Linked DNA regions of Tamandua tetradactyla. Each later gene encodes a partner of the first gene's protein in a complex. Links are inferred from orthologs where the notes say so. Each region holds a gene or a part of one and is shown on either strand. Other genes may lie near its edges. The genes, in order: LIN9, LIN52 and E2F4.

Evidence for each region.
Region 2: the proteins of LIN9 (region 1) and LIN52 are in contact, whole or in part, in a crystal structure (PDB 6C48), measured with the Homo sapiens proteins. The link is inferred for Tamandua tetradactyla from reciprocal best matches to the Homo sapiens genes LIN9 and LIN52. Residues at the interface, in NP_001353174.1 of Homo sapiens: Leu335, Gly336, Phe338, Phe342, Leu343, Ile344, Val346, Thr347, Leu349, Ser350, Lys351, Leu353, Met354, Lys356, Lys357, Ile360, Leu363, Arg364, Asn367, Thr368, Ala370, Glu371, Lys374, Ile382, Phe384, Gln385, Tyr388, Ala389, Val392, Leu395; in NP_001019845.2 of Homo sapiens: Asp61, Met64, Leu65, Leu68, Gly69, Leu71, Thr72, Thr73, Leu76, Met77, Val80, Leu83, Gln84, Leu86, Ala87, Leu90, Asp93, Glu94, Glu97, Met98, Arg100, Gly101, Leu104, Asn105, Ile106, Leu107, Glu108, Pro110.
Region 3: LIN9 (region 1) and E2F4 share a complex: the UniProt entries of both Homo sapiens proteins name them as parts of the DREAM complex. The link is inferred for Tamandua tetradactyla from reciprocal best matches to the Homo sapiens genes LIN9 and E2F4.

The regions. Positions count from the first base shown.
Region 1 is NC_135333.1:20,288,233-20,298,528, reverse strand, and holds the start of LIN9 (protein lin-9 homolog), read right to left. Parts: upstream 4,808-10,296; 5' UTR 4,773-4,807; coding exon 4,694-4,772; intron 1-4,693. UniProt on the Homo sapiens protein: Acts as a tumor suppressor. Inhibits DNA synthesis. Its ability to inhibit oncogenic transformation is mediated through its association with RB1. Plays a role in the expression of genes required for the G1/S transition.
Region 2 is NC_135338.1:33,066,026-33,076,321, reverse strand, and holds the start of LIN52 (protein lin-52 homolog), read right to left. Parts: upstream 5,060-10,296; 5' UTR 4,720-5,059; coding exon 4,689-4,719; intron 1-4,688. Other genes in the region: ALDH6A1 (methylmalonate-semialdehyde/malonate-semialdehyde dehydrogenase [acylating], mitochondrial), read left to right, coding at 5,274-5,321.
Region 3 is NC_135342.1:60,882,774-60,893,069, reverse strand, and holds the start of E2F4 (transcription factor E2F4), read right to left. Parts: upstream 6,002-10,296; 5' UTR 5,966-6,001; coding exon 5,831-5,965; intron 5,402-5,830; coding exon 5,292-5,401; intron 5,157-5,291; coding exon 4,995-5,156; intron 4,673-4,994; coding exon 4,629-4,672; intron 3,971-4,628; coding exon 3,909-3,970; intron 3,686-3,908; coding exon 3,388-3,685; intron 2,901-3,387; coding exon 2,709-2,900; intron 920-2,708; coding exon 872-919; intron 679-871; coding exon 634-678; intron 537-633; coding exon 421-536; 3' UTR 1-420. Other genes in the region: EXOC3L1 (exocyst complex component 3-like protein), read left to right, coding at 7,535-7,681, 7,946-8,011, 8,437-8,656, 9,140-9,752, 9,832-9,949, 10,077-10,202. UniProt on the Homo sapiens protein: Transcription activator that binds DNA cooperatively with DP proteins through the E2 recognition site, 5'-TTTC[CG]CGC-3' found in the promoter region of a number of genes whose products are involved in cell cycle regulation or in DNA replication.

The DNA.
Region 1 (10,296 bases):
AAAGAGCCAGTCTCTGTTCTCATGGAATTTACATCCTAATGAGCGTACACACATGGTGATAACAAGCATTACAGAAAAAACTAAAGCAGAATAACAGGGGATAGACAGTGTGGGGGGACTGGGGTATATGTGAGAAAACTATTAGTTTTACGTAAGTTGCTCATGATTAGCTTCTCTGATAAGGTGACATTTGAGCAGAGATTTGAAGAATTTCTGCTCCACGATGGTAGGAACCATATCTTGGGGATTCTGACCTATCAACTCTAATCTTTTTGTGAGACAGTATAGCACAGTGGTTAAGAGTACTGGCTCTAGATGGAGACTACATACATCTGAATCTTGACTCTGCCACTTCCTGTCTTTGCTACCTTAAGTAAAGTACTTAACCTCTCTGTGCTGCTGATTCTTCATCTGTAAAGTGGGAGTAAATGAGTTAATAATATATGCAAATGTCTTCTGGGCCAAGGGGAGGAAGAGAAGCAATAAAAGATGCCTAAAAAGATGAGGCATCTGGAGCCAAGAGAAATCAGGTGGAGTCCAGAGACTATTCTGGAGGCAACTATTGTGCAAGCTTCAATTAGATAGTACTGATTGCCATGGTTTGCTAAACCCCAACCAGCATCACTCCTGTTGACTCTTGACAATACCTGGGGCTCAAACTGAGACTCTACAGAGGTTTCATGCGCTAAGTTTGCTTTTCTGGAAACTATAACTCCCGGAGGATTCCTAGGTCAGATAAATACTGAAACCCAAAGGAACCAGCCTCTCTAACATTATCAATTAATTAATCGCTCTATCCTTTAGTGTCTACACCCCTTATCAACATGAAGAAGTCAGAAGGGGTGTTGCCCAGGGATCCCTATGGATTGAGAGAGGGATCGAGGGAGAAGAAGTTATAAAAGAGAATAGCATTTAACAGACAAGTATGACTCCTGAATCACTATATTAATCTTCCATCTAGCCTCCAGTGTTTGGGAGCAGCTAAAAGAAAAAATCTGAGATGGCAGAAACTCTGGGATCTGTTCTATAACTATCTGTTGAAGTATGCTTTGAAAATTATTGTTTTCTTTTTTTGTTTTGTATAGATGTTACATCTTACAATAAAAAATGTTTAAAATAATGTATGTAAAAGTGCTAAGAATAGTGTACATACCACATGGCAAATTTTCATTTAGTGTTTATTGTTGGAATTATTTTGATCAATCAATAAGACCTATTAGGTTAATAACATGAATTTACAGGCAGGTAAATCTGATTAAGTTAGAATCCCATTCTAGCTGGATATATTTATTCACTCATGCAGCAAATATTTACTGAATGCCTGGCATAAGCACTAATCTAAGGCTGGGCATATCCCAAGGAACAAGATGGACAAAACCCTGTTCTCAGGGTTCTAGTGAGAACAGACACACAATAAACAAGTAAACAAAAAGATAATTATTATCCATATATATAAAGTAACTCCCCCATACTGATATCACTCTGTTTATTTCCTATAGCAGTTACTTCATATACCATGGTTAGGAAAGGCTGGAAGAGGAAACTTCTGAGAAGGTCTAGCCATAAGAACACAAGGAAGAAGTAATACAGAAGAAACAGAAGGTTAAAACAAAAACTAAAAAAAAAATAACTGAAATTAGCTTAAAATATATTCAAAGAAAGGGAAAAAAGGCCAGTGTGCTTCAAGAGTACCAAACAAGAAAAAGTGGTATGAAATAAGGTCAGAGAGGTAAGCTAGGCCTTATGCATAGAACTGGGGTGCAAGAGTGTTAAAAACAGAACTAGTACCTACTCTGGTGGGGCTTCTAAAATAGTAAAAGGACCAGATGCTAACCAAACAATCACATAAACAAATTAAAAACTGCAACTGTGACAGCTGCCACTAAGGACTTACACAGTGCTATGAGAAAGGTTTTAATAAGTAGTTTAATGCTGTAAGGGAGGACAGAAAATAGCTCTCTGAAGAAGCTAAAATGGAGTCTAAAGGATAAGCTGAAGGTATTTGAAAGTAAGGGGAGGAAAGACCATTTTAGGTGGAGAGAATAGCACATGGAAAGGCACTGCAGAAAAGACATCTTAGTAAATAGAGGGAATGAAAAAGGTCCAAAGTATTTCAAAGGGATAAATGATAGGAAGGTCCAAAATGAGGCTGGAAAGGTGGGACAAGGTAGACCATGCAGGATCTTGTAGCTACTAAAGGCAAGACATATTTACATTTTGAAAAGTTCACTCTGGCTTAAGTGTGAATGTATGTGGGTAAAGGGGTGATGGATTAATGAAAGGTTGAAGTGATTAGTGGAGATAAGAGATGGTGACAGCTTGGACTCAGGTAATGGAGAGAAGCAGGTAGATTTAAGAGACATTTTGAAAGAAAAAGCTACAAGACTTAGTAAAGGCTTAAATATGGGAAATGAAACAGAAGGGAGTACCAAAGATGACCTCTAGGTTTCTTGCCCTGCCAGATGGAGCCATTCATTAAGACAAGGACCACTGAAAATATCTCTGTCCTGGGTTGGTGTCATGAGTTAGATTTTGAGCTTGTAAAATTTGAGGAACTTCTGAGCTATCTAATAGGAGATGTGAAATAAGCAAGAGATGTCAAGAACAAGAGCACAAGGGAAAGATCTGATATAAAATCAAACTAATTAGAGTACTCATCTCAATTGACATGAGGATTAAATGAATAGATTTATGTAAAATGCTTTGCACAGTGTCTGTGCATAGTAAGTACTCGATAAATGGTAGCATTTATTATTGATAATAGTTGCTGGCTATTGGTGAATATATTAGCTAGTCCCCTTGCCTAATCTTGATGAATAAACAAATTATTATTTCCAGTATCAAACTGAAATCACTTTTACTTTTCCTGTTCCAGTATCTTCAGTAATGCCTCTTACCCTATGTTTAATTCCATATAAATCAAGTATTTACATATACTTGATTTGTGACACTGTGTCACAAGCCACATAAGGCAATCTCTGCTTTCACCAAAGCTGCAGTCTAGCTAAACAAGACATGCACACAAGTACATCCCCACTTCCCCAATACAATGTACTAGAGATGTGACAAAGTAATATAAATGATTAGGTTATATAGTCTGAAAGTACAGCCGTGATTTGAACCTACAAAGAAATATGTAAGTCCTAGGTAAATGTTTGGCAACGATAATGCAAATACTCCCAATAAGAGCTATATTAAAAGCCACTTAAAACATCTTTCACTCAAAAGAATGACTGTAGTAACTAAAATAAGTCTATTCTAACTTCTTCTAAGAGGTGATAAAAGTTATCTCTTGGTAAAGATAACGAGGAGGAACATTTAAATAATTTAAAATTCAGTTCCTCAATCACTCAAGCCACATTTCAATGGCTCTATAGCCACATGTGGCTAAAGGTTATCCTAATGGACATCACAGAATAGAACATTTCCATTGCTGAGAAAGTACTATTGGAACTTAGCACTGGCTAGAGTAAATTTAAAACAAAAATACTCTTAATACAACTTTTCACCAGCTTGGCTTAACTAGAACTTGAACTTTTAATTTTAACTTGATAACACATTGAAAATATATATTCCACAAAGAATTGCCTGTATTTGGCTCTAATTTTCAAAGTCTATTTATATTGTGCACTGATAGATTTTTCAGTGATTGAGCCCTTCGTTTTTGTTAAATTAAAACTCTTGCAAATGCTATGTATACATAAACTAAATAGTGAGTGTGGACTCAGAATCTCTTTGTAATTAACTAAAATAAAACATTTGCTTTTCTATATAATTTACGCAATTTAGTAAATTACAAAGTTGCATTCCACTGTGCTTAAACTATGGAATTAGTGCTTTTACGTACTAAACACAAGCGAGAATATATGTTCATGAGATTCCATTGAGGCAGAGTGAGTAGACATGGCTAAGTGAAGCAATGCACAGGCGTGGGCGTCAGGAGTACTGTACAGGTACACTGGTTGGTCACATCAATATGTCCAAGGTACCCCCATGACTCTCAAGATACGCACACGCAGGAGAAAGTCTGTGGGGATGAAGGCTACCTGTGCCGTAAGTATCCAGTCTGGATTATCTCTGGAAGGATCCACTGCCACCTGTGGTCCCACAAAGGGCAGCCCCTTGACATGGAAACACTCCCAGAGGTGGGCACATCGCGGGGGGAGGTGTGACAGTGAAGACCACAAGTGCCTGGACAGGTAACAACTGGGGCAGGACTCCGTCTGAAGGTGGGGCAAGAAGAAAGGGCAGGTGGCTACCCCCTCCCCGGCCGAGTCCTCCCCGGGCCCGGGGACAGGAGCATTACATAACCCATGCCGGTGTCTCTCCGCGCCAGGCGAGCGGTGCGGGCGGCGGACACAGTCCCCGCGGCCGGGGGCAGCTCTTCTCCCACCAAGGCCGGGGGCCGGAGTCCGGCCAGGGGAGCAGCCACCGCCTCCGCCCGACACCGGCTGGGCTCTCCGGCTTTCGGTTTCCGGCCCTGGCGCTCCCACAACCCCAGAAACCAATACACAGACACCATAACAAAGGCGGCGACGCGGCAGCAACACAGGAGTGGGAGGACTAGGAGCACCTAGTGGGACTGGCAGTCAGCCCACCCGGTCGGCGGAGGGCACGCCATCTGTCCCGGCCGCTGCAGCCCGGGGCAGGCGACCGCTGGGAGGAAAGGGGGGTGCTTTGAGGTGCTACTCACTCTCGTCGGGCAACTGGTCGAGCTCCGCCATCTTGAACGAGCCGCGCCGCTTTTTCAAAGGCTGCCCGCCGCGGTGCATTGTGGGGCGGAGACTGTCTTAGCGAGGGAGGTTCGAATGCGGAGCTCGCTGCCTGCCGCGCTGCCGGGCGCTGCTCCCGTCGCGGTGGCCCGAGGCCCGGCTCCGCCCGCTGCTGGCGGCCGAGGGGGTGCGGTGGGGCGGGTTGCGCCTCGCCCCTTGCCCCCGCCCCGGCCCGGCGCTGGAGCGCTGAGGGAGCAACGCGAGCTCCCGCGTCCCGCCCGGGCCCGGCGCCGGGTCTCGCGCTGCCGCTGCGGGAACTGCAGGCTGTTTGTTCCGAGTGGGAAGAGGGAGGGAAGCCGGGAGAGGCCCGGCGGGCTGAGGCGGGAGCGGGAGGAGGCGCCTGGAGGCCCGTCATGGGAGAGAAGCCCTGGCTCTCGGTCGCTTTACCCCATGGAACCCCATACGGAGTAAATTTGCCAAGGTTCCCCAAGCCCGCGTTTCTTCTGTGCTTCCATCCCTTTCTCTTTGGAAGAGCGAGGGGAGGAGGCCACAGCTGCCCCACAGCCACTGGGTCCAACGCTTGGGGTTCGCCGCGGCCCGTGGCGAACCGAGGCGCCTCGTTACCTGTGATGCTGGAACCGGAGCCGCGCAGGGCCTGAGAGGGACCTGAAGGAGTCCTCAAGTTAGTCTTCTAGGCCAGCCTTTAAAGAACTGTTCTTTAATCCACTGGACACAGGATCATGTAGTGAGCTAGGAGAGAATTACAAAATGAGTAACAGAAGGTTTTGTAAGGTTATAGACAAGAACCCAGTAGGGACACTACAAGGTTGAGAAAGCACTCTGATAAAAGTGTTATGGAAACACTGGATGAGAGAATTCATCCTGTTTTGAATGAAGCCCAGGAAAAAATTTCACAATTCTTGTCTCTAACACTGTCCAGTAATAAACCATTGCTACTTTTCTACAACTAATTTAACAAATGCAGAACTCCAATCCTTTCCCTTCAAGAATCTGGTGCGGGTGGAGGTGGCAGAAGAGGTCCTAAGCAATGAAAATAGCATGGGTGAATTCCAGGAACTAAAAAGTTGAAAAGTGGTAGAAAGACTGAGATGAGGACAGAACAAAACACAGAGGCCAGCCCAGGCTAAGGAGTTGGACTGTTTGAACAGTGGCACAACAGAGGTCAGGCTTTAAATAATGGGGTAGCAGGTTCCATTTTTGTTTTAGAGCAAACGTGGAAAATTAATTGGAGGGGGACAAGATGAAAGTCTTGGAAATCAGTCAGGAGGAAACTTGGGCCAGGAAGAGAAGAGAGATATCTGCCTGCACTAATGGCTGTGGAGTTTCAGAGAGGGCCAGAAGGACTAGGTTGGAATTATGGCTGCTATCTGTGAAATCTCAGGCAAGTTTCTTAATTTCCTGTGCTTCATTTTCTCATCTATAAAATTCAAATAATAATAATGGGGTTATTTTGAGGATAATGAGTTGATGTAAAATCCTGATGATAATTCCTAGCATGCATTTTGGTCAAATGTTAGCTACTGCTACTGCTATGACTACTTCTAAACAGGAAGTATTGAAGGAGATGGAGGGACACGATGCATTCTGTCTCTCAAGAGGTGTGGAAAAAGACAGGACTTGGTGATTCATAGTTTGTGAGGAAAAAGGGGTGTCACGGATAATGCCAAGTTTCTGCCTTAGGAAAGTGGGTGGAAAGAGCCGTCACTTATTGAGGTAGGAAAGGGAGCAGGGTGTGAATGGGAAGGATGAAAGTTCAATTTTACAGAGTAATCTTTCCTTCATAACTAACTTAACCCCTGCTATGCCTTCTAAACACATTCTGATCTGTTCTTTAAGATGAAAAGCACTGGAAGTTTCAGCAACTTGGAGATGAGTTCAAGAGAAGGCCACCTCTCTGAGACTGAAAGAATAGATATAAACAAAACATGAATATCAGATCAAAATAAACCACGTTTTATCCTAAGGCACGTTTTTGTTTGTTTGTTTGTTTTGTTTTTTTTGCATGGGCAGGTACTAGGAAACAAACCCGGGTCTCTGGCATGGCAGGCGAGAACTCTGCCTGCTGAGCCACCGTGGCCCACCCCCTAAGGCAGTTTTCTTAAAACAAGAACTGAAACCTCCAGCAAGAATGGTATTTAAGTGAAGATTTTTAGGCCCTTCCCTGATAATCTGCCTGTTAAGCAAAAACTCTAAATGAAGCTGTTTTCCAAGTCCAGATCTACCACTTGTTAGCAGCTAGGCCCTTCACTATTATTTTCGGTGAGGTTCTTTATTGGGTATTTATGAAAGGTTTTATAACCATTGACTTACTTGATCTTCTCAACAACCTGGTAACATGTCCAAGAACAGCAGTGACTAACTGATAGAACCAGAAATCTAGCTCACTCTCAGCACCTCAGTTTTTCTTCTGTTCTGTGAGGAAAGCAGGTATACACAGAGTTGTTTAATTTCCACCATAACATAATTGTATAAGTGTAGTTGTTTGCTTTGTTTTTAAACTAAAATTTGGATAAGGACACTGTTCTAGTTTGCTAGCCACAGGAATGCAATATACTAGGAACAAAATGGCTTTTAAAAGGGGGAATTTATTAAGTTGCAAGTCCACAGTTCTAAGGCCGTGGAAATGTCCCAACTAAAGCAAGTTATAGAAATGTTCAATCTAAGGCATCCAGGGAAAGATACCTTGATTCAGGAAGCCTGATGACGTTTATGGTTTCTCTCTCAACTGGAAAGGCACTTGGCGAACATGGCTATGTCTGCTAGCTTTCTCTCCTGGCTTCATGAAGCTCCCCCGAGGGCATTCTCCTTCTTCATCTCCAAAGGTCTCTGGCTGCACAGGCTCTGTTGTGGCTCTAAAAAAGGGTCTCTCTCCAAAATGTTTCCTCTTTTAAAGGATTCCAGTCAAGGCCCACCAGGAATGGGTGGAGTCACATCTCCCTCTAATCAAAAGTTAATACCCACAATCGGGTGAGTGACATCTCCATGGGAACAATCAAAAACTCTCAGCCAGCAATATTGAATGAGGATTAAAGGACATGGCTTTTCTGGGGTCCACAAATTCAAACCAGCACAGACACCGTGACAGTTAATTTCATATGTCAACTCAAAATAGGTCATGGTGTCTAGTTGTGTGGTAAAGCACTGGACTTTTTGTTACTATGAAGGTTTTTGAGGTAGAATTTTCATCTATAATCAATTGATTATATCTACCATCAATGCCTTAGTTTGCCAGAGCTGCTACATCAAATACTACACAATGGGTTGGCTTAAACAATAAAAATGTATTGGCCTACAGCTTGGAGGCTAGAAGTCCAAAATTGAGACTTCGGCAAAGCCATGCCTTCTCCCAGAGACACAAGCATTCTAGTGATGGCAGTCCTCTGTCACGTGGCCATGTCACTCTCTGGCATCTCCTACTTCTGGATTCTAAGAACTTCTGACTTCTTCTGACTGGCTGTGTCTGAATTTCTTCTCTTTATAAGGCCTTCAGTAATACAGATTAAGGCTCACCCTGATCCAATTTGGCTTCATCTAAATAGGATCTCCAAAGATCCTATTCACAAATTGTGCTGGTTTGAAAGGAAGTATGCCCCCTAAGAAAAGCCATGTTTTAATATAAATTCCATTTCATAAAGGTAGAATAATCCCTATTCAATACTGTATATTTGAAACTGTAATGAGATCATCTCCCTGGTTGAGGTGATTTAGTCAAGAATGATTGATAAACTGGATTAGGGGATGACATGTCTCCACCCATTTGAGTGGGTCCTGATTGGTTTACTGGAGTCCTATAAAAGAGGAAACATTTTGGAGAAAGAGATTCAGAGAGATTCAGAGAGAGCAACACTATGAAGCAGAGAGTGCACCAGCCAGTGGCCTTTGAAGATGAAGAAGGAAAACGCCTCCTGGGGAGCTTCATGAAACAGGAAGCCAGGAGAAGAAGCTAGGAGATGATGCTGTGTTCGTCACATGCCCTTCCAGCCGAGAGAGAAGCACTGACTGTGTTCGCCATGTGCCTTCTCACTTGAGAGAGAAACCCTGAACTTCATTGGCCTTCTTGAACCAAGGTATCTTTCCCCGGATGCCTTTGATTGGACATTTCCATAGACTTGTTTTAATTGGAACATTTTCTCGGCCTTAGAACTGTAAACTAGCAACTCATTAAATTCCCCTTGTCAAAAGCCATTCTGTTTCTGGTATATTGCATTCCGGCAGCTAGCAAACTAGAACACAAATTAATCCGTACTTAACTAATAAAACATCTTCAAAGGTCCTATTTATAAATGGGTTCACAGCCACAGGAAAGGGGATTAAAGTTTGAACATATCTTTTGTGGAGGATGTGATTCAACTTCCAGCAATCAACAAAGGAGATTGCCTTTAGCAATGTAGGGAATCTCACCAATCAATGGAGGTCTTAAAAGCCAGAATTGAGAGTTTCAGAAGTCAAAAGAAGAATTTGGACTCAACTTCAGCATTAACTCTTCCTGGAGTTTCCAACCAGCCAGCGTTCTTGTGGGGATTTAGACTAAGAACTTCATCATCACCTTTATCTAAATTTTCAGCTTGGGTCCTGCCCTACAGAGCTCAGAGTTGCCAGTCCCTGTGATTGCATAAGCCAATTCCTTATAATAAATCATGTATATATATATGACTTATTATATTATAATATATGTAATATATATATTATATGTATATATCCTGTTGGTTCTGTTTCTCTGGAGAAATATAGACCCTAAGTCATGAAAAATCTAATATAAGAAGACACCGTGGGAAAAATAAACATGGGCCACATTTTAGGCATATCAGGTTTAATCATTTCTAGTCCCATGGCCCATTAATCAAATATTGAGTTATTTCTGTGTAAAGGGCCAATTGCAATTATGCAAAAATATGTTATAAATACTTTTGATAAATTCCTGGAATTTGAGTTGGTAATGAAAAAATAAAGACCTTACAGCTTGAGAATCTCTACCACAATTAGATGAAAAGCATCTTAATTTTATTTTTAAAAGGAAAGGAATAGACAAGAAGAGAAAAACTTATGGAGCTGGCAGATCTCCAGCCTTAGCCCTTCATCCCAGCATCTAATGATGCCAGGGACAGTGATGGCACCAGGATCTAGGTTCAAATTTCGGTTCCCCTACTTCCTTTGAATGTGACCTTGGACAATTTACTTAACCACTCCGAGGAGTTTTTATTTTCCTTCTCCCTTCCTTGAAGGGTTATTATGAGGATTAAGTGATCACAGTGTAAATTAGATGCTTATCAAAGTCTCTAGTAAATGTTGATTTCCTTCCTTTACCAGAACCCCTTTTTTACAACACAGATGTTCACAAAAATGTGCCCAATGGCTGTCCTGCTAATGCTACTCAGAATCCTCTTACTGGACTGTGTTCTGAGCAATGGAAAGAGGCATCAGGAATGAAAGCCAGGAGACATGGTTTCCAAATCTGACTCTACCATTTGTGAACACTATGACCATTGATGAGTTAAGGAGCCTCTCTGTCTCAGTTTTTCCATCTGGTGTGTGTGTGTGTTTGAGGGGGAGAACAGAACACACT
Region 2 (10,296 bases), on another chromosome or scaffold:
CTGGACAAACCTACAACACCTCATGCCCTACTCAAGGTTCCACGTACTTTTGGTGTTCAATTAAACTTTCCACATAAGTTATATTAGGAAACGCACTAGTCAAATTATAAATTTTGTACCAAATAAACATTTTTTGCTTTAGTCTCACACAAATTAAAGTTTTAAAATACGAATTACTATCTATTTTCAACACCCTGCAGTATTGACATTCCTTTGTTCTTCCTCATGCAAAAACATTTTTAAATTTGTACATTCAGTCACTATCATTATACACTCTGGGCATTCCTAGATTATACCATCTCAGTCTTTGTTGTCTATCTTTCCTTCTGATTTCATTTGTGTCCCCAGGCCTCCTCCCTCTATCATTCTCACATTCAGCTTCACTCAGTGTGCTAACATAATTGTATTACAGTTAGATAGTATTGTGTAGTACACATTTTTAACTTAGCCTGTCTGGCCAGTTCAGTTAAACAACCTAAACACATGGAGCCTAGAATTGGGAACAAGACCTTGCAATTCTGCATCGCTTAATATAATACCTGGATACATTCCAGAGTATGTTGGACAGATAATTAAAAAGTATTAGCAAAGTTCCTTCAGGGACTGGGAAAAAAATATCGAACTATTAAACTTTCCCACCTGGGATATCCCCGATACTCTCTCAAACATTAGGGACTCCCAAATTAATAGGCCACACCCTTGATCTTTTTTTCTTTAATGTTCTTTTTTTAAATTTTTTATTTTATTTTATAAAAATATTTTTATTGATAAACCTTAACATGCAAACATTCCATACATGATATACATACAATGGCTCGCAATATCATCATGTAGTTGTGTATTCATCACCATGGTCATTTTTAGAACATTTGCATCACTCCAGAAAAAGAAATAAAAAGAAAAAACTCACACTACCATACCTCAACCCTTTCTCTCATTGACCACTAGTATTTCCATCTACCCTATTTATTTTAACCTTTGTCCCCTATTATCTACTTTTTATTCATATTTTTTACGCATCTGTCCGTACTCCAGATAAAGGGAGCATTGGCAACAAGGTCTTCACAAACACACAGTCATATTGTAAAAGTTATATCATTATACAATCATCTTCAAGGATTAAGGCTACTGGAACACAGCTTAACAGTTTCAGGTACTTCCCTCTAGTCACTCCAATACACCATAAACTAAAATGAGATATCTATATAATGTGTAAGAATAATCTTCAGGATAATGTCTCAACTCTGTTTGAAACCTCTCAGTCACTGAAGATTTGTCTCATTTCTCTCTTCCCCCTTTTGGTAAAAAAGGCCTTCTCAATCCCTTGATGCCAGATCCCGGTTCATCCCAGGATTTCTGTCCCACATTGCTAGGGAGATTTACACCCCTGGGAGTCATGACTCACACTGGGGAAGAAGGCAGTGAATTCACTTGCTGCATAGGCTTAGAGAGGGAGAGGCCACATCTGAGTAACAATAGAGATTCTCTGGGGGTGACTCTTAGGCCAAATTTTAAGTAGGCTTAGCCTGTCCTTTGCAGGGATAAGTTTCATAGAGGCAAACCCCAAGATCAAGGGCTCGGCCTGTTGATTTGGCTGTCCCCACTGCTTGCAAGAATATAAGAAATTCTCCAAATGGAAAAGTTGAATATTTCCTTCTTTCTCCACAGTGCCCCACAGGGACCTTGCAAATACTTCTTTATTGACTGCCCAAATTACTCTGGGATATATTAAGGCATCATACTAACCTGGACAAACCAACAAAGTCTCATGCCCTATTCAAGATTACAGGTACTTATGGTGTTCAATAAACTGCCCAGACAAGTTAAACTAGGAAATGCACCACCCAAAATATAAATTTTGCACCAAATAAACATCTCTCCCTTTGGTCTTACACAGAGGTTGAAGATTTAAAATATAGACAATATCATCCTTGACCTGACGATAAAGGTATTCTAATTTATCCTAGTCCTATCTGGATCAGCTTCATTCAGATATGTACTGGAAGTCACATCCCTTTTTCAACTTTGTAAACAGTTCCTGTACTGCTGACGGTCACAGCTTCGTCTGAATCTCAGGTGTCACATAAATGCCCAAAGTTTCTGCACACCCTTGAACTTGAGGCTTGCTTTTATGAAACTTCAATCTGTAACGGAGAAGCTAAGCCTAGCTATAATAATGCCTAGGAGTTATTTCCAGAGAACCTCTTTTGTTGCTCAGATGTGGCCTCTCTCTCTCTCTCTTTCTCCCCCTCTCTCTAAGCCTAACTCTGCAAGGAAAATCATTATTCTTCCCTGGACATGACATCCAGGGATGGAAATCTCCCTGGTAACGTGGGACATGACTCCCAAGGATGAGCCTGGCCCATGGGATTAACAATGCCTTCCTGACAAAAAAGGAGAAAGAATGTCACAAAATAAGCTATCAGTGGCTAAGAGATTTCAAACAGAGTTGAGAGGCTATTCTAGAGGTTTTATATAGCAAGCTTCAGTTAGATATTGCTAATTGCCTCAGTATACCAAGCCCCAACCAACAGTATTCTTCTAAACCCTAAAGAATACCCAGGGCTCTATATGAGACTCTATAAAAGCTGAACTCACTAAGTTTACTTTTCAGAAATTTATAACCTCCAGATGGTTCCTACACCAGATAAGCCCTGAAACCCAGAATTACCAGTCTTCCAAGAGCATCAACCATTGTATCTCCCTACCCCATAATGTCAACACTCCTCTTCAACATGAAGAAGTTAGAATGGCCATTGCCTAAATATCCCCCAAAGAGTGGGTGAAGGATCAAAGGAGAAGGAAGAATTGTATCAAAGAAGAGAGGATTTAACAAATGAGTATAACTACTGAACCATTATACTGATATTCTTTTTAGTCTCCAGTGTCTTAGGGCAGCTAGAAGGAAATATCTGAAATGGTGGAACCATAATCCATACCAGACTTTTAAATTTGTTCCAAAACTACTTGTTAAAATGTACTTTGAAATGTATCAATTTTTTGCATGTATATTTCACAATAAAAATGTTTTTAAAAATGAATGCAGGAGGAATGCCCACTATTCAGCATGGAGGCAGAGGTCAATAAGCTGGAACTGATGACCATGGATCCTTAAAGGAAATCCTTCTCATCAGAAAACTGTATATAGATACAAAAAAAAATTGCTAGGTATAACCCAGGATTTGCAGATGACCACATGTTAAGAACATCTATGTTTCAACAACTGCCAGCTTTTCAGAATTACAGAAAGCTGACTCTGATCTTGATTACAATCAATACAGGCTGGAATATGAAATCAAGACCAATCATCCTGATTCACTAGGTGAGAAAAATCCAATTATTCTCTTAAAGGAATTGTCAGCAATAAAGTTTTGATTTCGGACTTTACATGCACGCTTTAAACCAGCTGCTGATAAGCAGAAAGAGATGAAGAGCTGCATTTTTGCTACTTTGAATAAGACTAAGACCTTATGAATAAAGACTATGACAGGAAATACAAAAGCAAACAAACCTGGAGCTGTTATCACTGACTGAAGAACAGGAAAGTGTGGCAGAGTAATTAAAATCTCATATACCAGACTTGTGAAGAAATGGACTTGCAAAAGGGAACTCTAATAAAGGAAAGATAAATCAGCACTTGTTGACTAGAAGTTAGGGTGTGCTGGTGAGGGAGAAAGTTTGTCTTGGGTGACTGGATAATAATATATTTCACAAAAGAGGAGAATAAAAGAAGGCAATCATTACCTGAATAAAATTCAGACAAAAGGACTGAACAGGAATAGAGGGATTTAAAAAATAAATTGATGCAAGACCCCAACTCTCTAAAAGAAAACAAAGTACAAAAGCATATGGGGGGCGGGCCACGGTGGCTCAGCAGGCAAGAATGCTCACCTCCCATGCCAGAGGACCCGGGTTCAGTTCCCGGTGCCTGCCCATGTAAAATAAAATAAAATAAAATAAAATAAAATAAAAAGCATATGGGTATACCAAAACCACCCAATTGCTTAGGCAACTTAGGCAACATATAAGCAGAAATTTATTAAGTTACTCAGCCTGAGGAAACAACAAAACAAAAGCAAGAGATGATGAGACGCGTGCAAGATTATACTAAAAAGCTCAATTCTCATTTTCCTCAGGACTCTCATGGTTAGGGCCCGAGGTCCCTCGCTTTACTTTGCAGGCAGGGCAACCGTCCCAAACAGAGACGATGGGAGACAATCACGTTTCTCTTGTGGCTCAATCCCAGGATGAGATCAACCACTAATCCCAGCAAGGGCTTGACAGAATCTTTCAGGATGTTCAATGAGAAGAGAACTGACCCTTCAAAAGAGCGCCTGAGAAAGACAACTACAGTAAGGCACCTCCTTTCCTTTCCTCCAGCAGCATCTCCTCCTAGGCCCTCAGCCTTTCTCAAACAGGGGTAAAGGATGAAGCGATACCCGTCCTTTTGCCCGAAATAGGTCCCTCGCAGATGCCCTACTCCACCGTTTGGTGTACAGCGGGGAAACTGGCACCTCTGGAGCCGCTGTGGAGAACCCGCGAGCTGAAAAAGGAGACGCATCCCAAGGAAAGGAGTGAAAGGGAAAGGAGAGAGTTCCAAGAAAGAAGTGTAAGCTTGAGGGTCAGACGGAAAACGGAAGCTTCCTAGTAAAGGGGGTTGCAGGCGAAAGATCTAAGCCGGCTCTTACCGTCAGTGGGAGACGCCATCTTCCAACCCATGTCACGTGACGTGGCCAACCGTCGGCGGGAAAGCGAGGATCATGAGCCACGCCCCCAAAGGGAAACCCTATCCCCAACTCGCAGCCCGGACTCGTTTCCCCGCCTCCTAGGGCAATCTTTGATTAGCCCCGCCCACCACTTGCTAGCCACGTCCCTCATGCAAAATTCTTGGCGGATCTTATTTACTTTCCTCAGTGATGGGGCGGGGCCGCAGCTGTGCGTATGACCAATCAGAGTTCCGGGTTAGGGGGGCGTCTTCCCCGTGTTCTCGCTATAGACTACTCCTGTCAGGGGCGTCTTCCTTATCCCTGCCAATTGAAGTTGCTGAGGCGGGCTGGGGGCGAGTTCTTCCACTATTGACCAATCGTGTATCCCCAGGCCTGGTATTTAGGGGTGGAGTCAGAGTTCAGGGTGCGTGATTGGCTAGGAGAAATGGCCCTCTCTGCCAATGAAGAGGTCCTGCAGATGGAGGGGCGGGGTTTGGCCCCGGTGGCACTTCTGAGGATCTGCACCAGCAGCAGAGGAGCAAGGAGACGAAGAAGAGGCCTAGAGCCATGGCGGTGGTGGCTGCTGCGGCGGCATTCCGGGCCCGTATCCTGCAGGTGAGTGAGGGACGAAAGATCGCGAGTCCAGGAATTGGATCTTTTCCGTCCACTCTCTCAACCGACCTCGGACGGGCAGACTTATTGGCCCAGCTTCTTGGCCGAGTCTCGTGTTCTCACCTGACCTGTGCGGCCGTGTTCCCCCACCCCCACGCCTCGTCCCAGCTCCAGTCCTGGGCCATCACCCCTAGTTCCCCGCCCTTCTACTCCTGATCCTCCCGTTTTCTGGCTTCGGCCCACTCTGCTCTTCCACCTCTACCCCTTCCTTACCTTCACCTTCTTGCCCTTACTTCTCTAGTTCTCCTCACCGTCTTTCCCTTCCACCTTCGCGCCTGCCACCTCTCCCAAGAACCTTTAGAGCTCTTTCTCCTGCTCCCTTTCCTTCATCGTACCTATCCGAGGTAAGAGGGGAGCTGACACGCGAGGGGCGATGGTCACTGAATGAACGTTTTTTAAATTAAATTTTTTTTTATTAGAGAAGTTGTGGGTTTACAGAATAATAATGCATAAAGTACAGGATTTCTATACACCACCTCACCATCAACAGTTGCATTGGTGTGAAAAGTTCGTTACAATTGATGATAACACTTTTTACTGAATGAACTTTGGATATCCTTCTAGAAGTGTCCACTAGGTTTTCACCAAAACCAGCCTTGCTAAGCGTCCCAGCTGTGGCTCTTTGTGTATTCCACAGGCCTTTTCTTGCCAAGGCTTTCACTGAAACTTTCTCTCAGGGAAGTTACACTTTTCACGTTGGAGGTAAATAAGGGCCCGTAGTTATGCTATCAGTATGTTGCATGTTCACTCAAGGGTCTAAACATCTCTAAAGCAATGTGATAGAGGGAGCCAGGGAAGACAAGAATTGTGAGTTCCTGTCCCAAAGTCAGCTCTTGGAGTACCAACATACCCTCAACTTCACCCATGGGAAAGTGGATCCTCTGAAGATAAGCCTAAGGAGAAGTAGTGAAGCTACAAGTGCTGCAAGCCCGAGTCTTATGGTGGCCAGCTCTATCCGAAGCCTTTCCCCTGTTTTTCAAAGCCTAGTGAGCATGCATATTAAGGACTTAGAATATAAGACAAGATTTACTGTAGGCAAAATTCTCAAATCTGCAAGAAACAGCATTACCTCTCTTGTTCATTCACCCAGCCTGGGAACTTCCTCCATATTGCTGGACTTTTAAATAATAATAGTATTTACCAGGTTTCAGTGAGTTCTATCTCAGAAACTTGTGCATTGTTAAGATTCTTGACAGAGTCATTGAAGATTCATGTTTAAATATGGTCTTTGATGGGACATTGTGGAAGATGGATTGGAGGGTTTTTGTCAAATGATCTGGCCTTATATATCTCTTGCTGTGATTCTAGTTCTGTTTTTCTAGTATTAGTAAAAAAGAAACAAAGTTGCCAACTCCCTCCTTGACATCTTTCACAGAAATAGGCTTTTCTGAGGGGGCAGGTGCATGGGCTGGGAATCAAACCCAGTTCTGCCACATGGAAGGCGAGCATTCTACCACTGAGCCATCAGTACACCCTCAGAAATAGGCTTTTACCTTTTACCCTTGCCCATTATAATAAGTCATTGAGAGCTTTAAAGAAGGTAATTTGTTCATTTGCATCAACAAGAAAAATCTCTCCTCTCATGCACTTTATTTTGGAAACAGCCACTATTTTCTGATTCATTTGAAGAAACTTCTGAACATAAACAGTAACTCTTAGCCAATTAGGAGTTGCTATAACATGAGCCCTTGACAAAAGAGTAGTCTATATGCGCGCAGCAGCATAAATATTAGACAATCTGTAAAGGAGAAAGTTCCCTGTTTTCAGTTATTTTAAGTTTTCAGCTTTTCTTTTTTATGGTGCCTTGTGAAACTTACCTAGAATCTCTGCTCTTTGAGATATCCTTCCCATTCAGAGATAAGAAAACCAGTTTTAAGGAGATTGTGACTTGCCTCAGTGTTGTGGTAGAAAGAGTATAGATTACTTCGAAGTCATACTTGAAGTCTAACCCTTCTCCACCACTTTTCTAGTTTTGATAATATTTGTGGGAATTAGAATTAGTGAATATAATTATGTAAATTACCTGACCCTTATGTTTCCCCAAGGTCTCAAGTGGTAGTAAATGATGAAGCTGAGAATTCAGAACTTAAACATCTCTTCTGCATTAGGCATTGCCCCAGGCTTTGGTTTCACTGAAATCTCCCCTGTTGTAATACAACAAGAAATGTGTAATAATAATAATAAACAATAGGAGAACACTGGGTGCTGTGGGAACAGAGCCACAACTTCATATGGCCAATTCTGGAAAATATTCCAAAAGTGGTTGCCTTTGGGGCTGGGGCTGTTTCTAACAAGACTAGCAGGCCATTCGCCAGGGGAAGAAGGGAGTTCCTGATAAAGGAAATAGTAAGTAGCAAATAAGCATCTAAAGAGCAAGAACTTTGGTTTGACGTTGATTTCTTCAATAACAGTGCTAATGAAGGTGTTTCTTGGGAAATGAAGGAAAGATAGATCCAAACTGTCAAAAACTAGGATCTTGATGTATTTTATAGATAATTATAGCCTTTTGACAGCAGGGAATCTGTGTGCAAGTGAAAAAATAAAACTAAGGCCTAGAATGCTCATGTTGTCTGATCCGTGCATTTTCTGCCCTTTAAGAGAGTGCACATAGAGCAAAATTATTATCAAGGTTGCTTGGTAAATACTCATTCTTTCATTCTGGAAAATATTAATGAGTGCTTACTTTATTCCAGGAACTGCACCAGAAGCTGAGGGACACAATGGTCTAGTGGTCTAAAGGAAGAGAAACATAATTAAACAAGCTGTTATCACCTAATGTGATAGGAGAAATAGAGAAATTCAGGGTGTTTTATGAACTCCATATTAAGGTACTTAGCCCAGACCCCAGATTGAGATTTTCTGGAGAAAGCAATGGCTAAGTGGGGACCTAAAGATATAGGAATGAGTCAAGCAAATAGGATGAAATAATTTTAGGAAGAGGGAACAATAGCATGTGCTAAGGCAAAGAGAGGCCAAAGCCTATTCAGAATGGCTGGAGTCTATAGAACAAATAGGAAAGTGTCAAGCAGTAAAACTAGAGATGTAAAGATACTATGCTGGGCATTGTAAGCGACATTAGGAGATTAGTCTTTATCCAAGGAGAGTGGGAAGCCATTGGGGGGCTTTAAACAACAGCATGATCTGTTCAGGTTTGTATTTTAGAAAGACCCATAGGCTATATGGTAGAAGCTAGATTCAGAAGGTTTAAGATTGGAGGCTGGGAGACCTGTTAGGAAGCCATAATCATAGTCCAAGGGAGAGACAATGATGGTATGTACTGGGGTAATGGCATTGGGGCTAGAGAAAAAGGGGTGCATTCTAAAGGTGATTGTCAGGACAGATTGCCAGGACTTGCTGTTTGATTTGCTGTGGAGAAAGAGAGGGGAGTTGGGATGACATTCAAGTTTCTGCTTAGGCCTCTAGATGAATAGAGGCCCCATTCACTGAGAGGTGAGATGCAGGAAGCAAGCATGTTGGTGGGAAGATGAGGAATTCAGTTTTTTGAACACACACCTAAGAAACATCCAAGTAGAGATGTGGCAAAGGCAGTTATATGAATATTACCTGAATAGAAAGATTCCAGCTAAGGACTATATGGTGTGGATATCATCAGAATCTAGATAATTAAGCCATGGGAGTAGGTAAAATCATCCAAGGAGAATATGCAGAGTGAGAAGAACGCTTAGGATCAAGCCTTACAGAGGTCAAACAGCTAAGAGACAGGTAGAGGAAGGTGAGCAAAGGAGGCTGAAAAGAGGTGATCAAAAAGGTAGCAGAGATACTTGTGAAAAACAAGTGATAAGAGAGGGTTCAGGAAGAAGGACATCAATAACCATGACATCTCTGCTGAGAGGTCAAGTACAAGAGGGACTGGGAAGGGTCCATAGGATTTAGGAAGTCACTGCTATTCTGTCATGAAGGTTGGAGTAGATTGAAGAGTGAGTGGGAAGTAAGGAAATAAAAATAACTATTATAGAAAACGCTTTCAAGAAGTTTGGTTGTTAAGGACATTGATTAAGTGGAAGAGAACATGGATTTAAGGAAGAGGAAGGAGGTTTTTTTAGTGTATATGTGGTAATAAAGGAGCTTTTGGATGAGGAGAGGTTTCGGGTACAGGAAGGAGAACATAATTGATGGAAGTGTCTGAGACAGTAGGAATGAATGGCTTCAGAGCACTGGTGTACATATTAGCCTTAGACTGAAGGTCAGAGATCTCTTTGGTCCATAGATATGGATATTAAATGACTGTGTTCCAGTCATTTTACCTTCGTGAGGCTTCTTAGCTACCTTCCATACTTAAGAAGAGGGAAGGAAAAAAGAATGGGTAAAGGTTCATGTCAGCTTTGTAGGTTTGTTAGTTTAGGGAGCTCCCATCTGATAGTTTGTTTTCTCTGAAGTGGGAAAAACAAGGTCAGCTCCTGAAAGTGAAAGGGGAATTAGTGGAGTTGGAACTTTTTAGGAGAATTAATAAGTTCTGAAAGAGCAAAGAATGAGAGCAAGTAGTATTTATAATACAATAATAGTGAATATTAGCATTTAATGATCACCAACGATGATACCAATCATAGTTTGATTGTATTTGGTGGGTCCTTTGCCTGATATGCTCACATGACCAATTCCTGAGACATCAGGGTTTCAAAGAAAGAGTTTATTGCTAGGCACCAAACATAAGATCAGATAGCCTATTTGCCTAAAAATTTGTCTCCCCAAACTGCAGTAATTCTGATAGTTTTTAGTATCAAAAGATGGGCAGGTTTTAAGATAATAAACATACTAGCTCTGATGATGTAATTAGGGCTGATCTAATTATTGACCATGTGCAGATTGATTACATGCTTAGTCACAGAACATATGTAAGAAAATGGCTACCTTAATATGATGGGTGTAATTTTTCACTTAAAGTTTGAGCTACTGCACA
Region 3 (10,296 bases), on another chromosome or scaffold:
TCCCTCCTTGGGGTGGGGGTGGGGGCTGGCAGGGGACTGGCAGAGGCAGGGAGTGGGGCTGGACAAACTGCCCTATGGGGGCGACGGCGATTCCTCAGTTCTGTGCCACTGGGTGGCAGCCAAGCCTGGGCTCTGGGAGGGCTCAGCAAGGGCACAAGGTGGGGAAGGCCCCAGAAAAGGTGAGGCAAACACTTTGGATCCATGATGGAGGGGGCTGAGCCCCTTTTCCCTGCTCTCCTAGCACAGTGCAGATGCAGGGACAGGAGTGGGAGTCATGGCCAGAACTGTGCAGTGAGGGAAGGCTAGGGAAGCCAGGATTAGTGGCTCTTGAGCTGAGTACTGGTGGGATGGAGGGCAGTCCCCAGGCAGGCCCCAGGTCAGACAGTCTGTTTTTCAGCCACACCGGCATGTCCCCATCAGTCAGAGGTTGAGAACAGGCACATCAAAGAGGTCACAGACACCTTCACTCTCGTCCAGATTGTAGATGTAATCATGGTCTCCAGGGGGTGGAGAGAGACGGAGGAGGGGGGCAAACACTGCAGAGAGTACCAGGTTGAGACCCCGGGCCAAGGCCACGCCCAGTTGCCACCCACCACCTGCCACACCAAACCCCTGCCTTCCTGGGCCACCCACCTTCTGAGGACATCAGCTCCTCCAGCAGCTCCGAGCTCATGCACTCTGGGGAAGGAGAGTTCAATTACCTTCTGCTACTGCTTCTCCAACCCCAAAGCCCATAAAAAGGATCCCACCTCCACCCCATTCAGAGCTTTACCCTTTGACCCAGGCACCAAGCACAACCCTAAGGTCCATGAGAAAAAAGCAAGAGGACCCAATGAGCTGTGCCCCTCAGCCCCAGGGAGAAATGCCCTACCTCGTGTGGGATCAAATATTTCTGACAGCTCTTTGGGGAGTTCCAAAACTGAAAGAAAAGAAAGCCATGCACAAAGGCACAGAGACCCATTCCAAACCCCACCTTCCTTAGGTCCTATTCTGTCCACTCCGGGTCTTCCCTGAACCAAGTTGCCACTGTCATCCCCCTGCTATAACCAAATTCCTCAGTGCTGAGCCTGAGATACCAAAGGCCCATCGTAGTTGCTTGGCACAGCCATCCTAACTCAGTGATGTTGCAGAAGGGCAGCAGACCCACGCCACCTTTCTGAGCTCAGCGTCTACCCCCCACCCTTGCAGAGCACCCGAGCACCCTCAGGTCACCTAACAGAGGAAAAGGCAGACACCTAAACAGGGTGTAGTGCCACAGGGTGATGACTCTATTACAAAGTCCCGATGGGGAGAATACATATGGGAAGCCGAGGAAGATGAAGCTGGAGAGAAGTGCTGGATCTGGATTGTGAGACTTCACATGCCAGGTGTAGGGGCTCTGACTTTACCCAGCAGGCCTCAGGGGGCTGTTACAAGTACTTTTGCAAATGCAGAAATGCCACAGTCAGGTTTGCATTTCAGAAAGATGCCTCAGTCAATTGGAGTTGAGAAGAGGATGAGAGGATCAAGTATCTCAGCTAGTGGTAGAAGGGACTGATCCTGGGTGTTGAGGATGCAGGACATCCGGGATAGAAACTCACGTAGCTGATGTGGGGTGGGGAGCAGAGGAAAGAGGCAGTGGAAAGAGTAAGTGGAGTGACATCCAGGGGTGTCAAGCCTGGATGAAAAGGGCCAACAGGAAGCTACACACTGAGGGAGAAAAGCAGGTTTCAGAAGGAAGATAAATGCAGGTGAGGACACATGGGAATGAAGCGCCTACTGGATGTGCATGGAGAGGGAGGCATCCAGAAGACAGGTGAACACAGAGGTCTGAAGTTCAGACAAAAGATCTAGGCTAGAGGGACGGTAGAGATTCATCCACCGAGAGCTGGGGCCCTCCCAAGGGATGGGAGAGAGACCTGGGAAGCACCAATGTTTAAGGGAGCATCAGGGAGGGGTCAGGGAGAAGCCAGTGAGGTGGCACCACTAAAGCCAAAGGAGGAAAGATCATACACATGGAGCAAGAAGGCACCAGAGCAAAACACCCTACACCTGCTGGATGTGGTAGCCAGGTCTTTGGTAACTTATCAAAAGCAGCACTTTGTGGAGTAGTTCTGGGGAAAGTGGGCACATGCGTTCTGACTGCTGCAACCTGAAGGTGAGTGGAGCAAAGTCAAAATTACTTTTTCAAGTAATCGAGACAGGGCGGAGAAAGGAAAGGTGTGAGAGGGGGGCACAAAGGAGGGAGAATGTTACTTGGTGAGGACAGAGAGACAGTGGGGCTTGTGGGGTAAGAATGAGTACTAAAGACACATGAAGAAGAGGAGGTATCAGGGAGATGATGTCTCCTCCTCCGGAAAGGAGGTCACTCTGGCACCCAAGAGCCATACCAGAATTTCCTCCCCAGGAGAGCACTTGTACCTTCCTGAAACCTGAGTCCAAGGGGTGGCAGACAAGGCTTGCGAGAGGGGCAGGGAGGACTGTGGTAGCCCAAGAAGTGCAGGCAAAAGGGGCACCAGCACTGACCCGAAGTCAGGCTCTTCCTCACACGGTGACTGGCAGAGAGCTCGGGTGTCAGGAGAGGGGTTAATGGCAAGAGACTGGGATCCTTGGGCTGGCAAGCTCTGGCTGAGGAGACAGGCAAGCTGGGTTCCAGCCCCAATTCTGTCACTAACCTAGACTTGGGATGAGGCTGGGTCCTTCCTGCCCTCCAGTGGCCAGGTACTCACCACCTGTGGGGTCCGCTTTGATGGGCTCAAAGGAGGTAGAAGGATTAGGTCCAGAGGAACTGTTATTGCTGCTGCTGCTGCTGTCCAGCAGGGCAGAAGACTGCAGTGGCCGGGTATCCAGTGCTGTCAGGCCCAGTGGGAGTGAGCTGAGCTCACCACTGTCCTTGTTCTCGATTCCACAGCCTCCACTCACTGAAACCACATCCCCCGCGAACCAGTCACATGAGGGGCAGGAAACAGGTTATAGCACCTGGCTGTGCTAGAACCCAGGGCCAGGATGACCACAATCCTAAATCCCAGGCCAAAGGAGAGCCAGGCACTGGCAGATACCCAGAATAGGTAACTTGGAAATGAGTCACTGAAGGAGGCAAAGCATGAGGCCTGCTGGAGGGAACTCATGGGTGACATGGCTGCTGTGGCCAAACTTCAGGAGGGGCTGCCAGGGAAAGTAAGGCACAGGTGGATATGGGTGGGTGGGGGGATAAGAAGGCCCCATCAAACAGTTTCCCTGTTAAAAAGAGCTTGTTCACTGCCATAGCAAGGAGAGGCCAGGTGGGGGCTAGGAAAAGGACAACTCCAACAGGGTCCCTTCCAGCTCTGGCATCGCATTCCATAACACAAGGTGCAGCTCTTGGGTGCCAGGAAATAACCTCCTCACTAGCTGCCAATCATGCCTCACCTGTGCTCTCAGCTGCTGGGCTGGCCACCCCCTGGACCTCGGTGCTGCAGGAGATAGGGGTAGAGGTGGTCAGCTGGGGACTGCTTGGGCGTGAGGCTTCCAGGGGCTGGGCCAGGGCAGGTTTGGGCAGAAGTGGAGGGGTAGAGATAGTAGGTGGGCCCTGGAGCAGATCTTCCGGTGGTGGAACAGGCACAGCCACAGGGGGCGAGCTCCAGGCCTCCTTGTTCACCAGCAACACCTCGATGGGGCCACTCACACTCTTCAGATGAATTTGGTACTTCTTCTGCCCATTGAGGCCCTGGAGGTTGGGGGTAGGGATGGTGGACAGGTATTGGGACCAGACTTGGCTCCTGCCTGTTCCTGGGTCAGGGCCAGAGTGTCCTCTCCCACCCCAGGCTGCCCGTCCTCCTAGATAACCCCAAACCCCAGGCCTCCCCCTACCTGCCCCACCCGGGACTTATCAGGCTCCACAGCCAGCACCCGCCCTCAGTCATCCCCGCCTGCCTGAGCTGAGCACCCACCTCTGGGATGGGCACCTCCAGGCTGGTGCCCGATGGGGCCCGGATGGCCAGGAGGGTGTCTCCTAGAATGAGAGGAAGGATGGGTCAGAGCCCACAGACTCAACTTCAGCTGGAATGAGAGTGCCTGCCCTTTGCAGCAGATCATGGTCTCTGAGGGGCTAGACAGTAGGCCTCACCCACACCCCACAGTGGATGGGGTAGGAAGCTGAAGCTTTTCTCTCACCAAGAGTCCAGTGGCCAGTAACTAGAAAATATGGGTTCAAATATACAAAGCAAAAGATCGGTAGTCAGGAATACCTCACTGATGCACTGATGGGGCTGTTCCCTAAGTTCAGGTGTTCTAATGCCAACATCCCTTCCCCAGGAACAACCTAGGGGATGTAAGGTAGAGAAGGAACGGCTCTTGTACCCACATGAAACTAAGCTATCATTAGAAGTGGACACCACTGTCCCCTGCATATAAGCATGCACACACATGCGAATGTGCGCACACACACACACAAACGCTCTCTCTTCCTTGTCCCTCCATCATGCCCAAGAGGCCAAGCCCAGGGAATGGTGCAGGTGGGGACTACAGACTTACCCATGCCTGATTTCTCTTTGGTCAGGCCCAGGAACCCTCCTAAGAGATGGAACTCTTCTTGGGCACTGAGCCCAATGCTCAGGGCTGTGGCTCAACCCAGGCCCACCCCCATCTCCCCCTACCCAGGCTCTGCTCACCAGCAAAGCATCTGCAGATGTCCTCATGAGTCACGTAGGCCAAGGTGTGGGGGTTAAGGAGAACGGTGGATGCCCTGTCTATGGTAACAGAATGGCGACCACAGAGAGGACACAGCTTTTTAGCAGGTGTCTGAGATAAAGACCCTCAGAAAAAGTACTGGAGTCTGAAGTCCACATGGGGAGGGACGACAAGCCAAGTCTGGAGGGGAAGGAACTCTGAGGAGGGAACCCAAGGAAGCGATCCAGCCAGAAGCCTCAGGAGCATCCTCCCAAGAGACACAGGGCTAAGGGCACCAGAGAGCAAACCCATCTGGACCAGAGGGCCCCTCACCCATGCCCCCAAAGTAAAGACTGCCAGCAGGATATCAGCTGTTCTGCACATCCTCTGTGACGTTCCGGATGCTCTGCTGCACCCACACCTTGTGCTGGTCCAGTTCTTGCTCCCGCTGCTGCAGTTCCTCGATCTCCGCCTTGAGCTCAATCAGCTTGTCAGCAATCTCCCGGGTATTGCAGCCAGGCCCCACACCTCTGAGCCCAGGAAACGGAGCTGAGAGAGGCTGCCAGGAACTGAGTCCCCTGGCCCCTGCTCTCACTTGCACACACCCTCCCTCACCCTACGCCTCTGACACTTCTGCATAAGAGATCCTAAATGCCCCCACTCACTTCCACTGGATGCTGTTCTTAGATTTTTTTTCAATCAGCCCGATACCTTCCAGCACATTGGTAATATCATAAATCCGCCGCTTCTGGCGCACAGCTAGGGTGTCAGCTGCCTGGCAGACAGAACAGAGTGGAGGGTGGTCAGCCCCTTTCCCAGGTGTACTCCTAGCCACGTATCTATTAGACAAAAACTCCCACTGCATCCGTCAGGTCAGCAGGCCCCAGCTACCTTGAGACTTGATGTGCAGTTGTCTGGCAAGGGGGCAACCTGAGTCCCAAACCTCCACTCAGGCACTACATAACTTGGGACCACAGAGCCAGCCACGAGGGCCAGCACCTGCAGCCCCGCGCCGGCACACAGCTGACGCTCAATGCCCTTTGCCGAATGAATGAAACATCTCCGGGACCTCCCTTCTGTGAGAAAGCACACGATGGCGGCCTGCTCTCGGAAGATGCAGTGGGACCGCCCCAGGGGTTCCCGCTCCCGGCCAGGCCTAATCCACCACCAACTCCTCCGGTCGTCCCCTTAGCCCAGGCCGCACCAGCTTGAGGTCAAGCACGCCGTCCTTGGCCTCCTGCAAAAGCGACACGAACTTGGTGGTGAGAAGTCCCAGACTCTTCTCGTGCCGGCTTGGAGTGCCCGGGGGCGGCGGCGCCTGTGGCCCGGCCTCCGCCATCTCGCCCGCCCGCCGCCTCCCCTCAGCCAGGCCAGGCCAGGCCGGCGCCGCCGCCACTTCCGCTTCCGCTCCTGGTCGACCGGCTGCCGGTGCCGGCGACCCTGCTTCCGCTTCCTCCCTTCCAGGGAACTTGGCGCAATTCCTTCATGTGAGCACCGCCGCAAAACGTTAGGAACCGTCGGAAAAATTTAACCGCCAAGGAGGGCGAAAACAAACCGGAGATCCCGAAAACAGGACAGAGTTGGGAGGGCTAAGGAGGACGTCAGTGGATGGCCCCCGCAGTAGAGAAGGGAATGTCACCGGAACCTTTCTTGCCAACCTTCCTTAACACTGCTAACTCCGCTCCAGACCCTATCTTGGGAGAGGAGACCACCCTGCTTGCTGAACCCAATATGTTCTCCTAAACCTTTTCCTGGAGTTTGCCCCACCCTATTCCTGTCCTTCATTTCCTAACAGCCAGCGCTAACTACATTTAGCTTGTCCACTTCCTCTACATCCCAAACCTCCTGCTCTGGTCCCAGCCTCAGTTCTTTCTTTCTTCCTTCTTTCTCTGCTCCACACCACAGCGCTCAAAGGTCTAGTTGCTGCCATAAGATTACAACCACTTTTTAGCCCATGCAAACATGTTTATCTACGTGTAAATGTGTGTAAAGCACTTAGAGCAGTTTCTGGCACGGAGAGCGGAATATGTTCTTGCTAGTATCATTTTATTTTTAACATTGTTATTTATTATGTTTTACTATTGGTCAAGTTCTCTGGGAAACAGACCTTGAATCATGGATATGCTTGCAAAAAGTTTACCAGGGATCCACGCTTCTAAGGGAGTACAAGAAGCCGAAATCAGGCAGACAAAGGAATTAAGTTAGAATGCAGTTATAATAGAGCCCTCAGCCCATCCCATTAGGAGTTTTGAAGCTGGGTTGGCCCTTCAGAGATGTTCTAAATCCAGACAAAGATCTGGGTCTATGTACCTTAATAATGACCGAGAAGATGCAGCTGTGAGCCCTCAGGCCTGTAGGGCAGATTTGGGAGGTACAGTGGCCGCTACCCAGTACTATCCTCTAGTCCCTCCAAAACTCCCTACAACTCTGAGGACAAGAAGCCACCTCTTTGGCACGGCTTTCAAGGCCTGTGACCCCCTTCATACCATCACCTACCACACAGCCTCTTCAGAACAGCCTGTGGCTACTCTCCTCTGCAGAGGCAGGCACTTTCCCATCAACACACTTCATACCGCAGTGTTGTAGTCTGCATCCATATCTGCACACCCCACCCCAACCCCCGCCCCAGGTATGCCTGGGTCCTGAGCACGAAGGAGGTCCTGAAGTGGGCTGGACAAGACTTGCAGTTTTCAGAGAGTTCAGCCCCCAGCCCCCAACCCTCATGGAGGTGGCCCCAGCCCTCCCCACTTCATCCCACAGTGCAGAAGCTCTTTCCTGTTGGGAATAAAGCACCAGAGACTCAGCTTCCTTCCTTTCTGTGTGTGGCCTTGGGGAGGGAGGGGCCTTGGAGGGAGAAGGGGGCTGGGAGGTGGGAGAGAGGTTTCCCCAGGGACAGGGATTCTATTGCATGGCCAGGAGTGGGCTGGAGTCACCCAGACCCTGTGAGGGAGGGAAGGGAGTGAGAAGCTCAGCTGCAGGACTGGAGGAGACAGAGCCATCATCAAGGCCAAGGCCGTCTGCAGAGGAGGGGGAACTGAGTGCCTATGCAAGCCTGGTGAGTCCCATACTCACCAAACTGTCCCCTGCAACTCAGAGCAGGAACAGGGCCCAGCGGAGGCCTGTGCCCACCCTGCCTCACTGTGTCTGGAGGAGCACAACTAGGAAACTCAGCAGGTAAGGCCTCCCTCTCATTTCCGGAGGGGGCTGGGCAAAAACCACCCTCCGCCTTCTTAGAGGGGCCTAGACAGAGGCTGCAGCTCAAAGGAGCATCCACTGAGCTCATTCTAACCCAGATCCTTGCCTTGCATTCCTACCGCAGCTCCAGCTCCTCCAGGGCCCGCCGTGGACTCTGCCAAGGACGAAATGGAGCCTGCCCTTCTGCCTGGTATGAGTCCTGGGTGGGCTGGGGGAGGGATGAAGGAAGGAAGATGGGAACGTGGGCTTGGGTCCTTCCTTGGCAGGTCTGGTTGGAGCTAGGGGACAGGCGGGAAGGGGGGCAGGTTCGGCAGACATTTCCTGCAGGCCCTGCCAGACTGACGCAGCTGCCCAGGCTCTTCCTGCCCAGGGCCTGAGTGGCCAGAGCAGGAGAAGGCGGAGCAGCTGGCCCGGGGTGCCGCGCTCAAGTGGGCCTCCGGCATCTTCTACCGGCCCGAGCAGCTGACCAGGCTGGGCCAGTACCGTAGCCGCGAGATGCAACGCACCTGCTCCCTGGAAGCTCGCATCAAAGTAGGCATGAAGTTTGGGGGAGCAGGAGTACTGGAGATGTGCTGCGGGGTTGTCCAGGCCTCACTAATGGCTTCCCTCCCACAGTCAGTGATGCAGTCGTACCTGGAGGGCGTGCAGACTGGTGTGGGGCAGTTGGCACAGGCCCTTGAGTCCATGCAGGGAGCCCGTGAGGCCCTGGGCCAGGCCTGTGGGTTGCTCCAGAGCATGGCTGAGTCTGCAGAGACCCTAGCACCCTTGCAGGAGCAGGTGGCCCAACATAAACAACTGAAGGCCCTGTCTCAGCTGCTGCCCCGGCTGCAGGCAGGTGAGTGTGCTGGGGTCCCAGGCCTCAGCTCTCCAGCTCCTTCACTGATCAAGGGGCTGGGGCACTAGGTGGGGATCACATGGAGGGACACACCAGGAACCTCCCAGGGTTCAAATGACATGTGAAGCATATGTAATTCAGTTCATCCTGGGTTTTCCAAGCATGGGTTGTCTGAATTAGGACTGATACACAGGCACCCTGGTTACAGTGAACTATTTTCCTAACAGGGTGGGTGAAAAGCCATTTGTGTGGTCCCTAACTTCTTCTGGAATCCCTGACTTCCTCTTGTTCCATCAGCCCAAGGGTCCACACATGGTCCACCAGGCTTCTAGAATTTCACTTGTGCCCTTCCAATGGGCCAGTGTTCCACCGTACTGATTATTAACATTTACATATCACCCCAGCCCAGGTCTCCTCACCTGCTGCACCTGTTGCACAGGTATTAACTCTGAGACCAGGGCTGTCTCCTGTGTTCTTCATTAGTGCCTGCTGCAGTGACCCACACACAGTCCCTGATTGATGCCCAGCAACTCCTCGAGGCATATGTGAGCCTGCGGGAGCTGGAGCAGCTGAGAGAGGAGACCTGGGCACACCTAGGGGACCTGGAGTTGCCAGATCTTGAGGGGCTAGGCCCTCTGGCTGAGGCACTGGGCCAGGCTGTGGAGATGGTTGCAGGAACTGCAGGACAGCTGGCCCGGGAGGACCCTGCCCTGCTGGTGGCTGCTGTGCGCGTGGCTGAGGTGGAGACTAGACGCACAACTGCCTTGGGGCAGGCCCCCCGGAACTGGCGGCAGCGCTGTCTGCAGGCTCTACAGGACGGCCTGGAGCGGGTCCACTTTGGGACACATCTACTGCCTGGGCCAGGTGCCCTAGCAGAGTGGCTGGAGGCTCTGCAGGTGGCACTGCCAGCCGAGTTGGCCACAGCTGAGGCATTAGTAGCACCCTGCTGCCCACCGCACTACAAGGTGGTCCAGCTATGGGCTCATACCCTGCACAGAGGCCTGCGTCGCAGCCTGCAGCAGGTCCTTGCAGGGCCTGAGCTGGGTGCTGCTGACGCCTTCACCCTTCTGCATTGGGCCCTGCATGTGTACCTGGGGTCAGTGCCCTGAGGGCAGCGGGAAGTGGGTGGATTGGAGACTGGGGACTCATTATGACCCCCAGCTACCCATCTTCAGGCCAGAAATGATGGGGAGTCTGGAGTTAGGGCCAGAGGCTGATGTGTCTCAGCTGGAGCCCCTACTGTCCCTGGAGGATGTGGAGTGGCTGGAGACAACGTTTGTGGCCAAAGTCCAGGTGAGTGGTTGGGGCATGGGTCCAGAGCAGCCCTGATCATTAGTTGTAGGTTTTTGTCTGTACAGTCACTGTCTCTGGCAAGGTCAGTGCGTTGCTACCTCCTGCTGCTTCTTACCCCTTTCCCCAGGCAAGTGTGGCCCAGTGGCTGCAGAAGGCACTGGATGGGGAGGTAGCCAAGTGGGGCCAGGAACAGGAGCCAGACATGGACCCATCCGGCTTCTACTACTCACCAATGCCAGCCATCGTGCTGCAGGTGGGTGGGGGGTGGCCAGGCAGGTGGACAGCCCAGATGGGGAAAGGGGAGGAGGGCAAGGCTATGGGCTTTGCTGATGGCTGCCCATCCCTCC